Caenorhabditis elegans: one gene and its partner. The protein of the gene in region 2 purifies or fractionates together with the protein of the main gene of each other region. This does not show direct contact. Each region holds a gene or a part of one and is shown on either strand. Other genes may lie near its edges.

The links. The genes of interacting proteins can lie anywhere in the genome.
Region 1: the proteins of T21C9.6 (region 2) and cpt-6 fractionate together in Caenorhabditis elegans (co-fractionation; one large-scale study listed by BioGRID). This does not show direct contact.

The regions. Positions count from the first base shown.
Region 1 is NC_003283.11:6,488,645-6,495,970, forward strand, and holds cpt-6 (Choline/carnitine acyltransferase domain-containing protein), read right to left. Parts: upstream 5,278-7,326; coding exon 5,185-5,277; intron 4,971-5,184; coding exon 4,680-4,970; intron 4,634-4,679; coding exon 4,211-4,633; intron 4,072-4,210; coding exon 3,878-4,071; intron 3,079-3,877; coding exon 2,562-3,078; intron 2,511-2,561; coding exon 2,211-2,510; intron 2,164-2,210; coding exon 1,975-2,163; intron 1,800-1,974; coding exon 1,566-1,799; 3' UTR 1,442-1,565; downstream 1-1,441. Other genes in the region: lec-10 (Galectin), read right to left, coding at 1-279, 347-367.
Region 2 is NC_003283.11:10,579,745-10,588,360, reverse strand, and holds T21C9.6 (Phosphoenolpyruvate synthase), read right to left. Parts: upstream 6,475-8,616; 5' UTR 6,470-6,474; coding exon 6,369-6,469; intron 5,825-6,368; coding exon 5,740-5,824; intron 5,695-5,739; coding exon 5,303-5,694; intron 5,261-5,302; coding exon 5,169-5,260; intron 5,124-5,168; coding exon 5,059-5,123; intron 4,978-5,058; coding exon 4,492-4,977; intron 4,446-4,491; coding exon 4,306-4,445; intron 4,256-4,305; coding exon 4,016-4,255; intron 3,969-4,015; coding exon 3,749-3,968; intron 3,669-3,748; coding exon 3,351-3,668; intron 3,301-3,350; coding exon 2,820-3,300; intron 2,508-2,819; coding exon 2,099-2,507; intron 2,049-2,098; coding exon 1,913-2,048; intron 1,870-1,912; coding exon 1,327-1,869; 3' UTR 1,284-1,326; downstream 1-1,283. Other genes in the region: srg-32 (Serpentine receptor class gamma), read left to right, coding at 113-346, 428-565, 708-896, 945-1,073, 1,117-1,194; lpd-9 (LiPid Depleted), read right to left, coding at 7,809-8,000, 8,422-8,554.

The DNA.
Region 1 (7,326 bases), 4.1 Mb from region 2:
GTAATATCCAGCGTGAACCTTGATGCTAAGGTGGAAGTGCTCCGAGTGGTGAAGTGGGTTTTTGTGACGGATTTCTGGTCCCCACATTCCACTGAACTGGGAGTTCATGACAACGACGTGTTCATGATGGAAACGGAAGTTGACATGAAGAACAACATTTGGTCCGCTCAAAAGCTCGACGGCAAAGTTCTTGTGATGTCCGTGACGAACATGTCCGTGAACAGAGATGGTGGATCCATCTTGAAGTGGCTCGAAGATCGAGAGAGCGGTTGGGACACCCTGAAATTTGGTTTATTGAAAACTTGAAGTTTCCAAACTGGAAAATTCTAGAAAATCAAAAACTCACGGGGTTGTGATAGGAGTGCATGTTAGTTGATAGTAAGACCGATTGAACCGATAGAGAAGTGAGGAAATGCCACGACTTTTATTCAAACTCTTATCGATATTTCTATGACATCAGGCGAGTTTTATTTGCTTAAAGACTAAGAATCAATGGGAGGTATCAGACACACTTCTACATTTGGGAAATCAATGGCAAATAAAGAACTGAATAAGACTAAAAGTTGGAATTCAATGAAAGAGGATGTAATTACTCAACTGATGGGGAAGAAAAATCAAATTCAATCGTTGCGTCTGATTAGGAATGAAATGTTTCTGTTAATAATTTGCAAGTAATCAGCTCGAAGCATAATTTTTTGTTGGTTTATTTTGTTTTTCAGCATGACGGAACATCATTTTGGAAATACAAAAAGTTTTAAATATCAAGTTTTGTCTAATAGAGGGTATAAAAATTGTATTTAGGTTACAGATCTAAATGATTTCTCACTATCATTACATCATTTTACAACATAATTCTACATACAAATGCCACGAATTTTAAAAAATTAGATGTTAAATAATGTTTTGAAAAGGTGTTCAGATTTCTGTAGTTATGAATATGAAAGGATTGTTGTCCTCGAAAATGTTTCGTTACGTTTGTTAATTTGGATTAGTTCATCTAGAAAAGGGTGCGAATTCAAGTCACATCAACAATTTGTCAGCTAAACAAATAGTCAAGTTTGCAAACTTTCCAGAACTGTTTCCATGATTTCAAAAACCTACCGAAAAGATTGGCAAAATTTCATATTTAATCTTAAGAGATTTAAGTTTCAATTTCATTCATTTTCAGATCTTTTTCCATCTTTTTTGGTGCACTATAAAAACCGTTTTTTGCAGTTTTTGTGCTAAAATCATCTTTCCATCGGCACACACAACGTGATGCTATCAAAAATGAAATTCTCGTACAATTGCCATTTTTGATCGGAAACTCTGTTTGACATTTCACCAGTTTTACATGAGTCATAGTCTGGTGTACACCAAGAATTGAGCATAGATCGTGAACTGGTCATGAGTCATTTCAGGTGATTTTTGAATGGGTCATACACGAGAGAATTTTTTATTTAATAAAAATTATTTTATTGACTGAGTGACAGTAATATATGAAACAGGTTAGAATGATAGTGCAGAATGAGTTCAAATTGGTACAAGTTATGGGTATAAAACCGTTTGTTACAAAATGGGATGGTTCAAACGAAAAGGTTTGAAAGTTCGTGGAACGATTCGGAGAGCAACTTTGCAAACTTTGTTGAATCAGTGTTGGCAGCGGAATGATAACTTGTGATGTTTGCAAAGATTCCGTGGTTTCCTCCAAAGCGATAGCAGATTCCGTAGCCATCAGCAGCGACTGCTCCGAAGCATGCTCCGAGCCAAGTGTTGTCTGAATCAGTGTCCTCGTCGCATTGATTAGTCACGTTTGGAACCTGGAATAGGATATGTTCAAATTGTAAAGTTAAAAAAAAAATAATTAGGAAAATCCAGAAAAAGCAATTGTTGAAAAATGTTTGAATTAAAATCCTTCAGCTCATTATTAGAAAGTTACGTGATACAACTGCCAAATACATAGCACTATGTCATCTTATTTTAATGATTACTCACATGTGAGGTAGATAGCTTCCACTTTTGATTAATATAATTGTCAAGGAAAGGACTCTGAATCCCCGTTCCTTGAGATAAAATATACAGAACAAAGAGATGACGATCGACTCCTTGCCCAACCATACACTTCTTGTTTCGAAGAACATGAGTTTCACAAGCTTTTTTCAAAAGAGCAATCTTGGCTTCTTTCTGAAATTTGAATTTTTCATCGTCTTAATAACTTCAAATTAACTTACCGTTTCATTTGCATTCAACATAGCTTCCACAAATTCACAAGAGTGATCGTTAACTGTTCTCAAAGTTTCGGTCCTCGAGTTTGCAAAGAATCGAGCTGATGCTGGTTCATATGTGAGCACAAATTTGCCTTGATCTCGATAGTTGGCAAGTTGAATAGCCATTTGAATGAATGCATCTGGTGAGACACCACACTTCTTGATACGTCCTTTTCCAAAATCACGGAATGCAAGGGCATACAGGTCAAGGTCATTCTTGGCGATTTGATGAGCATCGTAGCAGCGAGTGATCTCGGAGAGCATCTGAAAAATGATTATTTTGACCTGAAAGGTAAGGCAAAAAATGAAGCTTACCTCTTGATCTGGAACTTCAAAGTTCAATGGAGTAGCAAGCTTCAGAGATTTCTTATCATTCTCTTCAATAACTGCCATTTTCTCTTGCTCTTCAATTGATTTGTATTTCAAAACTTCCAAATCTACATATACAAAGTTTTCCATAATATGATCAAATTCTGCTCCATCCGCAATAGAATGCTCAGTTGTTCCACCGCATCGAGCATTTTTCGAACAAATATAATTAAGAGACTTATCAACCCATCGATTAGTTCCATCTCCAGAAAGACAATTGGCAAGGAAGTTGCTGAGAACTTCGGGTTTCTTCTCATCATATCCATAATCATCATTCTCATCGAGTGTGAAAAAGAATACAGCACACTCGATTTCCTTGAGGATTTGAGCATTTTTCACGTTTCCAAGGAAATACTTTTGACGGTTTCTGTGCCAAGAGTCCCTGGTATCGTGGGTCAATGCTGCGATTTTTCCAATAACCCCTTCCTCCTTCTCGTCTCGGGAAATCATTTCGTGGAAAATTCTAGAATTAATTATTTATATTGATTTTTAAAGCTTTACTTGGAATTTTTATTAAAATGTTTGGCAAGTTGCTGACATTAAATTTTGAAATTTTTAGCATGTTTTTTTGACGCTTATATGCATCTCAGTTCAAAGAAATTTAAAAATCAGTGCACATTTGAAACTCCATATTCACCATTATTCTCAGTTTAAAAAAAATTGAAAATCAGTGCACATTTGAAACTCCATATTTTCCAAAATTCTCAGTTTAAAAAAATTTGAAAATCAGTGCACATTTGAAATTCCATATTTTCCATAAAGATAACCAAATGCGTTTAAAATAAATTTTTGAAATTTCGTGTATATATAACGTGTTTAAAATTTAAATATGTAATTAACTCTGTATTTTTGGCTACCCCCATTTTTTGAAGTTTCAGTAGTTTTAGCGTTGCTCTAAAATAAATTGTTGCTGAGCTTATACTTTGGAATTTTTAAGAAAAAATGGTATTTAACAGTAAGATGTTCGCATTTTTCAGCATCTCTGAATGAGTTGTTTTTAACAAAAATATTTGAATTCAATTTCGAAGATGATATCGGCAGTTGCCAAAGTTAGCAAACGATAAAACTTTTAGCAACTTTTTTCTTCATAGCTTTTGATGAGCTTTTAGAAAATATGCCATTTGCTTTACAATTTCCATTACACCATATGCAATTTCCTGGTTAGAATATTTTTCCAACTTGCGTCTTGCGACTAATATAATAAACTCTGATGTTATAAAATATCAGTAGTGCAGATCCTTTTTCGATTAACTTTTACGTACTTCGTCAATTGTTCCACAGTGTAGATGTTGTTCTTATCATCAACCACGTGAATCTTATAGTATTTTCCACGCAACACCACTACAATGTGCTTCTGAATTCCGTGCAATATCAGCTGATCAATCTTCTTCCCTGGTTCTCGGGTTACTGCATACATATTTTTGTAATGTCTGGTGCAGACAAGTCCGTCGCCAAGCTGGAAACATTCATATTGATGATAAAATGTTATCAAAACAATTGTTTGGTTTTTTTCGGTGCAAGATTGCGACGTGTAACATTCACTGATAAGAAATAGGGCAAAATACAAACGATCAGGAATCACAAAAAAAACATACCGCCTTGTACTGTTGACGATCAATTGCAAGATGCGACATGACTTCAATCCAGGTTACTCGAGCTGCTCTGTGAGCTCGTGTTGCTTCTTTGTCTCGGAGCAAGTCACAATGAGCAACACTGCTATTAATCATAAGTGGGTATCTCCCATGAAGATATGCATACTTTTGCCAGAACGAGGTGACATAGTTGTCGGTGAACAAAGAGTAGATCCACGTGTATCTCTGAAGCTTCTTTCCCTCGTTTTCCAGAAACTCATGTGCTTGCTTGGCGACAATCTCGTACTCTTGTTCTGATAGAATATGTTTCATGGAGTCAAGGTATTCAGAAATAGTGTCTTTGAGAGCTGGTACCGGGAGACTCGGAAGAAGGCGATCACAAGATTCAAGGATTGGTGGGGAAATTGAGAGAATGTGTCGGACAATCTGAAATTTGAACAATAAATTCTGATGGTGTTACAAAATAACTTACACCCCAAATTTTCGTTTTCAAACATGGCTTCTTTGGGTTGTCAAACAAGAATCCTTTGTATGAGAAGTAGAAGTGCTTGAGAAGTTTTCGAAGTGTGAATACTCCTGCGTAGGATCCAATTGCCGCGACTGCAGTGGTTTTTGCAATTTCAGCAACTTCCGATCCGAACTTTGGAAGAAGATCAAGAATCGCATTTTCTGGGTATTTGTAGTGTAGGGTGGCCGCCAGAGCAACGGTTGTGGCAACGAATGGAATCGGTTTGATAGGCCAAAGTGTGTTCTCAATCCAATTCTGAAAATATAGATACTTCATGGTTGTTTGGTAACTTTGAAAAAGGTAATGTTTTAAAAAAAAATTGTTTTCTGTGTTTTGTTTCCTAAACTAGATCCAATTCGAAATTCCAAATTCTACCCACTTAACAACTAGTTTTTCTCTGACTTCCCACAACACGTAGAAAAGGTCAATTGAGGTAAATTAGCCAATTTTCTGATTTGATAAAACTTACGTAGGTCTTGTAGGATGCTTGTTCAATTGGCGATGGGAATTTTGTTGGAAAAGGATATGGTGAACGAACTGTTTTCTTTTTGTTGGACGACATCTGAAATTATGGTAAGGTTTTTGAAATTGAAGAGTTGAAATTGGCAGGATAGGTAATAAAGTTTAGAAGGCTGCAGACGAAAAAACAACAAATTTGATGAACGTGAGTGATGTTGTGGTGATAAAATTGGGGGATGAGAATCACAAAAAAAGAAAACTAATTAATCTACATTATCAATTTAACTTTGCCTTTTCTCCAGTCTCCGTCTACACTTATTGCTGACTTTTTAAAGGAGAAAGATCAAAATTGTATTCTGATCGTATTCTAGTTGACTTTCATTCTCATAATCTTATCGATAGGAAACAAAATATTTCGAGAGAATCATGTGCTGGAAACTCTTCAAAAAATGGCTGAGATAAGAGAACGATGGCTTTTGAAGCAAAAAGAGTAGAGTACAAAGTGGAGTAGAGTGAGCAGAGTCTGCTTCAAGCAAAAAATAAGATGAAAAACGAGAGTTTTGTTCCGTGTTGTTGAATGAGCGAAAAAAAAGCCTGAGCACAACAAATATAGGGTTTCTAAATCCCATCAGAAAATGGAGAGATGTAGAGTGAGAAGGAAATACGGCATATTTTATGAATAGAATTTATTTTCTGTCAACCAAAATTTGGAGAAAAACCTGCAAATAAAGCATTGCGGAAAAATAATTTTTTAGAAAAAACCCGTCATATATTCTTCAATATGTTTTTTATTTGGAAGATTTGAAAAAAGATTTCAGTTTCAAAATTTTTGAAAGGCTTTCTGAAAAATTTTGTAACACAGAACAAATATTATTCCGGAAAAATCAAAAATTCTAGTTAAACAATATGCATTTCTAAAAAAAATTTTACTTTCAATGCTTTATAAAAAACAAAAACAAACTGAAAACAAAAAAGTAGAACACGTATCTGGAAAAGAGGAAAAAGGCAATATTGAACACCATATGGTGTGCACAATTCTAGTCGATAAAAGGAACAATGGGACAAAATCTAGATAGAAGGCCGATCAATATCTAGATTTAAAGGGGTCGTAACTAGATTGTAGTCAGACCTGTGAGGTTTGGTGCAGGTGGTTTGAAAGAATATGGTGCAATTTATCTACTAAAAATAATATATTTTCATTTTGGAAATAAATTTCAGAAGTAAAATAATAAGTTGGGATATCAAGAGTTTTTGATAATTTTAAAAGAATTGGGAGTACTGTTTAAAACCAGTGCTAAAATTACCTACTATAAAAAAAAGTTCAAACATGCCGCATTGCTCCAAATTCCTCAAAAAAACCTGTTTTAAATTTGGTAAAATTGGCTATTTACCAAAATTTTTCCTGAAAAATCTGAAAAATCCAAGAATTTTCGGTAGTTTTAAAATGATATTCGATTATTTCAGATTATCGTACGAGTATATAGATGATATTCCCTGGTGCAACTCTAGATTTAAGTTTGAAAGATCTCCCAGCCCTATCAATTGTGTCACCTGGAAATCGAGCAAGCTACAAAAGAACCCGCCAAAATTCAAATGAAAGTTCAGCTTAAAAACGCACTGGAAAATTATAAAAGTACAATAACCGCCGGTCAAAATGTCGACGAAAAATATGTCCGATAACAGTTTGATGTAGAGTAAGGAAACACACAAGCAGGGCGAAATGATAGAGAGGGAAAGTTTGTCTGGTTGACCTACTATCGGAGAATCTTCACTGCAGGCGGTTATGAGAAAATTCGTGGATGCAAACACAGCTGGTCGAAATGGGAAAGCTTTAGGGTGCTACGATGTAGCCTAGGATTAAAAAAAAAGTTTTTATCAGATGGGAAATATTTTAAACTGCGGGTAGAATCCCTTCATACTGTAGCTTAAAATAATTTTAAAAAAGTAATCAAATATGTTTCTTGGAATTGTTTCCTGCACGACGGTATGTAAAATAAAATATTTATTTCATCAGAATATCTTTTTTACCTTACAGAAAGAGCTTTCCACAACATTTCTGATAATGGAAAGTGCACAAACTTTAAAAAATTAGTAGATCATAAACTCAAGCTTTTCCCGAATAATTCCAAATAAGACACAATACTGGGGCTGC
Region 2 (8,616 bases):
TAAAATAGAGAACATACAATATGGTACTTTCCTAAATAGCTTATATGAAAAAGATAATTTTTCTACCGCCATTGAAAATGTCTTCACTGTACTTCATTATAATGAATTTCAGAACATGGTAACATTTGCCAATTCATTTGTTACTCTTCGCGCCCCTCAAAATACTTGCAACAATTGTACATTTGCATTTCTTTTTGAGAGAAATTCTTCTACAGAAGAAGATAATTTTCCTCTTCAAGTATTCTTTACCATTCACTATTGCATGGCATTCATTCAGTATTTCATGACATTTTTATCTTCTCTCAACCGTTTGACGATGGTATTTTTTGTTGACAGTTATGAGAAAGTGAGTTAGGAGTTCATGCTATTTAGAAGACCTCGAGAGAATTTTTATTACGATTTTTATTAAGTGTTTTTGTTATTTCAGATATGGCGCCCGAGTCTTCCTTTCCTTATTATGATAGTTATTATATTCCCTATGATTATGACATGGCCAATTGCGACAAACAACGCATACTTTATCTATTCTCCAACATTGGGAGGATTTGCAACAAAAACTGTAGCCGTATGTTTTAATTTTACAATTTGTTGCAAATGTATTCAAACTCAATGAGATACTTTTTTTAAAAGTGTGTCAAAGCGTACATGAACTCAAAACATTTTTAAAGTCTGAATTTATGAATATATTCAATTTTTTCGTTTTTCAGAACTCAACAGAAGTGCTAAACTCGCTAGTCACATTCATGATAGTTTTTACATTATTTACCGCAACTGCAAACATTGTCTCAATAATTCGTCTGACTCTTCTTCCAACAAGGATCAGTGGTGCAGAGAGAAATCTGTTTACTGTCAGCTTTGTTTCGTTCATTATTCAGCTATTAGCTCTCGGAGATACGGTATTTAGGTTTTGCCTCCTCAGTTATTCAATATTTCAATACTTTTAGTTGATTCTTCGCGCCGCACCATCAGAAGGAATGTCAGTCGGAGCCCAAACTGCAAAAGCATTGATGCCTTTTGTTAGTGACATACTCACTTTCAATCATCCATGGACTATTATGTATTTTAGTACCAAGGTAAATGATATATAATTCTGTGAAACATGTCTTATTTTTCTAGGTACGTACGTCAATGGCAACAGACCATTTTCCCAGTCTCAGGAGTAGAGCTGTCATGGTAACAAGTTCCGTGTACTAACATATTTTTTATTTACTGATTTACTGACCAATGTGAACATACGCATCTTTTTTATTTGTGTTCTAGAATATCAAATTTTGAATAAACACTCACATAAAACAGTTTTATTTGAAAAAAATTGATTACATAAATTTATTCCTGATTAGTGTCCAGTCGGCTAATTGTGCCAGAAATAGAGTCCAGTTCAACAAGATCACCAGTTTTAAAGTGATATGTTGCATTGGAAACTGCAATCAAACTTGGTAGTCCATACTCTCTTGCAACAACAGCCCCATGACTGAGTAGTCCTCCAATCTCGGTGACAATTCCACTGATAATTGGGAAAAATGGAGACCAACAGATATCCGTGTATTTTGTAATGAGAATCTCTCCTGGTTTTGTCTCTTTTGCTTCTTCCAATGTTTTGGCAACTCTTGCTCTGGCTCTAACTTTTCCTTCGCATACTGTAGTTCCTCGAAGAATGATACCAATATTTGCATCAGTTTCAGCGATTTCTATTTTAATTGGATTCATGTATCCATGAGAAACAAGTGGAAATTGGAGACCTTCAAACTTCGATGAAATCTGTTTTCTTCTGATTGCTCTGGAAACAAGTTTTGCACTTCTTGTTGCATTCAATTCTTTAAGTTCGTCCATTGAGAAGTGCATCCAAAGATTTGGATCAGGAAGATATCCCTAAAATTGAAAATTACTTGCAGCAAATTTTAAATTAATTCACTTTTTCATACAACTTCTTTCCAACCATTCTGCATGCCTTTCGAAGAGAATGTGTCGTGGAAACTAAATGATTTTTTGCTGTTTCTCTAAATGAAACTCCACGGTGTGTCTGACCGATGAAATATTTCAAAAGTCTTCTGAAATGTGTAAATGCATTTTTTTCAAATGGTTACAAAAAGTTTCCCACCTTCTAATACCAGTCGGCTTGCATTTCAAGTTATCAATAATATCATCTTCATTCTCAATAGTCTTCCCAGACGTTTCTGGGCAAGCCAACATACTTTTAATTGTATGAACTAATAAATTGGTGTCCTCTTCCCAGGTGGTAGCATCTAAATAAAGTTCTTTCGGCCCTCGATGTCCATGCAATTCTAGAAATCTTCTCAATTCGTCAGAGCTTTTCTTTCCGTTTTCAAGTGTTTTCAAAGCCTCATCGTCTTCTGCAGCACAAAATTCTTTATCAATACTCTCTTCTCGAATGGTTTTTGCAAGTTTCTTTAAAGAATTTGGAACGTCAGCACTGATTACATCTCCACGAGAGTTATTGGAGAACACATTGGCAAAATCGGATATATTGTCATTGGAAAGAGGTCCATCTGAAAAATATTTTGAATGGAAGTTGATATCAGATTCTATAAAATTTGAATAATTACAACTTAGAAATACTTAATTTCAAGAATCAAAAGGAGGACAGATTTGACACAGAAATCATAATTTTATAGGTATTTTCAAGTATGCTGCTAAATAACAAACACAATTTTAAATGATTAATGCGTAATCATCAATTGTGTGAACTCTTAAAAACCTATCAAAAATAGTATTTTAAGGAGAGCTTAACCCTTCCTTAAGAATTCCAGTTAAACTCTATATCATTTGAAGGCCTTTCAACACTTTCCACAAAAACTAACTGTCACTTCCACGAATAAGCATTCCACATAGCACATATGTGAAAGAAGAGAACATTGAAAGACTGGTGTGACAATGGCTTGCATCACACCACAACTTCTCAAGCTCGTCATATTTTTTGAATACTATCTCAATCGTCATTTTATCATTTGGCACCAGTTTCTTTGCTTCCTCGTCGATTTTGACAATTTTCGCCTTCACACTGTTTGATGTAAAATATATTAACTTGATCATGTTGAACATTCTCTTCAACGGAAAGAAAGGTGAAACTTTTCCGTATTGATGAGCTGCTTGTTGGAACATTTCCGCATTGAAAAGAGTTTCTCCAGCAATCACTATATCAGTAATTCGATCTTTTTCAACCAGTTCCCAAATTCGAAGAACAACTTCTCCCAAATTGAAAAATATTTTACGGTGTGCAACGGAAAAGCCGATTGAAGTATGTGCCGGCACAACATCATTGAGCTCTTGAAATGTCATTGACTGAAATTTTGTTTATAATTTAATTTTTTTAATTATATTGTTATTCTTACTGCAATGACTTTATCAAACATTCCAGTTAAATTATGAGCTTCCATGGCATTAACCGGAACTGGAAGAACTTCTCCAACATTTGCATTTGTTAGAATTTCTTTGTCATGAATACTTGGCGAATTATATTCTGTGCACATTTCAAATTGAGTCTCCTTATCCAAACCAGTAATATCTCGACTTTGAACAATATTAACCATTTGATTTCTAACAACAAATTCAATATCTTGAGGTTTTCCAAATATTCTCTCCAAGTACTCTCCAACTTTGGTAAGTTTCTCAATCTGATAGTCATCCAAGCAACAATCGACGCCAACTTTCTGAAAATATTTTTGTAGTACTTCTTTATTGACAAAAAGGTAAAATATAGCAAAAATCCTTTTAAGAAAACCCAACTTACATTTATGACCACCGTTTTATGGATTCGATTTACGTAAATCTCATCTGGTGTCGTCACACCGCTCACAATTTGTTCCCCACTTCCTTTCAATGCATTTATCACAATTTCTCCACGATCTAATTTTACTGGATTTGCGGTGAACATAACTCCAGCCACTCCGTTTCGATCCATTTCTTGAATAACTACAGCCATTGACGGATTAAGCTGCTGACCGTAGTTTCTGTAAACGTCACATTGTGATTGAAATTTTAACTTGTTAAAACCTACTTTCTGTAATTCAATACTTCTCTTCTAAAATTAGAGCCCCAACACAGCTTCAGTTTATCAACTATATCAATTTCAATCACATCCAAGTAACTTTCCAGTTGTCCAGCTGATGAAAGATCTGCTCCATCTTCTCCAACTGCAGATGATCTTACTGCATAGTATTCAGAACGCGGTAACCACTCCTTAATTTCTTTTTGCAGTTCTTGAGACACTTCACTTTCGAAAAGAAGCCCTTCAATTCTAAAATATGTCATGTTTCTAAATATTGGATTGATAACTTATTTTATTACCTTTTACCAACATCCTCATAATACTCGGCATTTTTATCGTTGATATCGAGAAGTTTTATTTCTTCTAAAACATTTGGATTCGCAATTACATGCTTGTTGAAAGCTGCGGTAGTGACAACTATTCCAGGAGGCACATGGAACTGAAAATCTATTTCAACATTGTATATGCTTACTTTCAGAACTTACATCATCGGTGATTGCTTGAAGTCTTGCTAAATTCGCACCTTTTCCGCCAGTTAACATTTTATCCTGACATGCTCTGTGATTGAATGAGACTACTGATTTCATCTTTTCTGATTCAGTTGCATGATATTCCGGGAAACTATCGGGAAGTTTAGTTGTAACTTCATGAATTGCCTCTCTCACTCTAACCACAAATCCAACTCCCGTAAAAATTGCAGAATTAACTTCTAACGCAGTAACGTCGACAACCTTGTTGTCTTCTCGAATAAACGTGAAATGACATAATTTTCGTCCTTTTCTCATTTCAAGAGGGAGAAGTCCACGTGAAACATATTTGAATTGAACTGGAAGCATATTATCTGACTCAAGGGAATGAGAATTATCAATAATTATTGGACGAGCACTGTGATCTGAACGGAATCCCACTCCGTGACTAACTGATTTCTTTTCATCTACAGAGTTGACACGATAGGAAATTGCATTTGCATCCTGAAAACTACTTTCTTAAGCGGGATAAGCCAAAAAGTATTTCTACTTTTCTATAATACAAAAAAGATAAATAAACCTTACGCTCAGGTATGTATGAAAATGTGTAGAACTTGTCTCCAAGTCTAATGGATTTCTATGACGAAGTCCTGAAACTTTGATGGAATTTGGTTTTTGTATCGTGTGTTTTCAACCTCTATATCTATGTTCGACAACTTCATCTTTCCCAATTTTGATTTCTGCGTGATATTCACCCATTTGGTTTAACACATTTCCTTTTCGGTACCTAAAGTTGATATAACGTATTTGTAAGAAATGATTCAGTCACTTTTCGATAGTTTTCAAATTCTCAATCAGTGCAGTTGGTTTGTCATTGTAAATTTCATTGAATGACTTCAAAAGAGCATTTGAATAGAAAAATCTAGCATTCGACACACATTTCCACCATCCCGAAAGTATAACAAAATGAGAGTTGCCTTTAGCATCATTCAGGTATCCACGGAAATTAATTCTCCATTTACGGAATGGGTTTCGAAGCTCAATTAGCAATGGTCCACATGAAATTGTTCGATTATCGGAGAATACTGCTTTGTATGATCCGGAATAAAGAATTCCTTTTTCGAAAACTCGAATATGAGCAAAATGAATTTCATTCTTTGTTATAACTTGAATATACACAAAACTATTATCTTCTCCAGAACCGCTAATTGTTAGAATTTCCTGCAAAAAAAGGACGAATTTCGTGTCTATTTTTATTATTCATACTTCATTTTTAATATGTTCCAGTTCCCATTCCTCTTTATCAGGGTTTATAATGTCACGAATCTTTGCAGTTGGAGCAGTGAACTTTCTGAAATTGTATTGAGTCTACTGTAGCCTTTTTTAGTTTAAAAAAAATCAAAAAAATCTCGGTAATTCACTAGAACTTATAAAAAGACAATATGCATGAATACCATCAATATGCAAGAAGGGAACAGTTAAAGATTTTATTTTGAAAATGTTTTAAAAGTACGATTTCCAAATTTCGATCAGCGAAAAAAAATGAGTGGTATTTAAAGTATTGCAAAAACGTTTGAGTAATTTTTTAAATCAATCTTTTATCTATTCAAGCACATGTCTTTTCTTTAAATACTATAAGAGTGAACGAATCGGATAGTCATCGTTCATATTTTCCATAGAAATCTAGATAGAAGTTTCAACTTTTTGTCAATTTATCAAAGTATGGTTTCTGCTATTCATTCAAAAAAAAAAGTGTGCTCACTTGTTAATCAACTGATAGTATCAAATCACAATTGACAAAAAACTCGAATTTCAATATAGATAACCAGTTTGGGTCGTAAACAAAAAAGTGATCAATTGCCCCATACTGGGTCCATAATCACATTAGTACTCACTTGACCGGATGTCTCCATTTAAGGAACGCGTATATCACTGGATACAATACAAACTTGCATAGTGGAGCTGAAAGAAACAGCAAAAACAGGAATATCAACATTTGTTCTGTAAATACGTAGAATTTTATGTCAATAGCAATACATGTAAGAACATCAATAACTGAAGAGATAGATCTTGATAGTATTTTAGTAATCAGAGATAGCTTCAAGTGTACTTGTCTTGAAACGGTTTATAAAATAGTTTTAAAATGTATATATTTGCCAACTGATTTTCATGTGACACTTAGAATATCTATGTAGTTTGATAAAAGACTCTTGATTAAATCATTAAATAAATACAAAAGTACGTGCAGATTTGATAGTGATTGTGCTAATAAATTAGTGTTGTTGTATTGAAGGTCAAATATTTGTTGTTGGAAAATGGAAAAGATCAATAGCTTCTAGCAACTTATATGTCAAACTCGGCAAACAAAGATTAATTGAGAAATTTTAGTGAATTTTTAAGGCTCAATAATCGGGCATATTGTTTCTATAAAAAATCATCGCTAGACATTCATCTATATCACATCATAGATGAGTATATCATAGCAGAGCTGTCGGTTTTTTGCTTTTTTGGTTTTTTCGTAAAAATGGATTTTTGATTTTTTTTTCAGACCAAATTAACAGAAAAATTGTTTTTCAAAGATGTTATGTTTTAGTTGGATTGATGAAAAATCGAAAAAAATAGAGTGTTTTTTTTTTGGTTTTCTGGAGAAATTCGATTTTTTGTTGTTTTTCACAGCCCTCACAAGGTATATCATCACAAGCCTATCATCACGGCCATATACTCTAATAGTATGACATGCAAGTCGAATTCCAGAGAAGTTAGTACTAAATAATAGAGAATACAATAGAGATGTCACACAATGAATAATCTATGGCAAGGGCTCGAAGAAGAATTCGGCAAAAAAATTGAATAGTTTGAGTACAAACCATGTTTTCCAAAAACGACCAGTCATTGCAGAGAAGTTAACTAGAAAGAATGTGAATTTCTATGTTTATACTTCTAGCATTGGTAAGTTCAAAAAATAAGAAACTGGAAAAGTTGAGTGCTGAAGAATCTTATGGCACATATAAACTGTGGCTGATAACGAAATGATTTGGTTGAACGTATAAGTAGTTATCAGGAAATAATCAATAACTAAGTTTATGACGATGATGATTTTTTCGATAACTGAATTGACGGCGCAAATAAAACCAGCCGACGTATTTAATTTCCATCTGGGTGGTCTTCTAATTCGAATATTGGATATGTTCTTTGCAATGTTGTGAATGTTTATGGGAAGACATTTTTTACAAGAAAAATCTTTTTGTGATAATGATAATGATTACAAATACACTAAAATGGGCTCTTTCTTCCTATGCAAAAAGAAGACGTTCGGACGGTGGTGAATCAGAAATTTAGTCATGGGCATCGTCGTGACCGTGATGTCCGTGATTACGGTACTTGTACTTGAGTCGCTGCTCTTCTGGAACGGCAAAATCGTAGACAACAGTTCCGGCTTTGATGATTCCGAAAAGAAGAGCCAATCGCCACACAATTTTCAAATATTGACCATATGGAGATTGACGGAAGAAGTCGGGGTCTTTGTTCTGAAATAAAACAATACAAATCGCATTGCGTTTTATTTTATGCTGTCACTTTTTAAAAATTGAACGTTTTCTTGTTTAAAATTTTTTTAATTACTTATGCATGAGAAAATTGATTTTTTTTGTAGTACTTATGCCATTTCATAACAAAATATATGATTTTGTGAAGAACTTTGAAATTTTTTTAAAAACATTATGGCGGCTTCAAAAGCCAAGTTTTTAGCCTCGCCGGACAGTCCCGACACTATAAATCTATAGCTGTGGAAGCTTTATGATCAAAAAATTAAAAATTCAGTAAACTAAGTACTAAGGTTATCTTATTTTGAAAGCATTGCAATTAATTCTCAAAACAAAAACATATTTTCGAACTATTTTCGAACCGACTGTACTTTCGGGAACATAATTAATTCTTTAAAAAACTCACAATTGCACGATAAGCAGCTGTCGTCTCCTGCTTGGCTTCACCAAACAAAAACATTTTTGGCATGTTGTTCACATTATCCCATTTTCCCTCACTTCCGAGTCTGTTGATTTCTTTCCAGACGGCGTGGGAGTCACTGCAATAATTTGAAAATTTATGATTCAAAAATTCACCAATTTAGGAAACTGTTTTGTATTC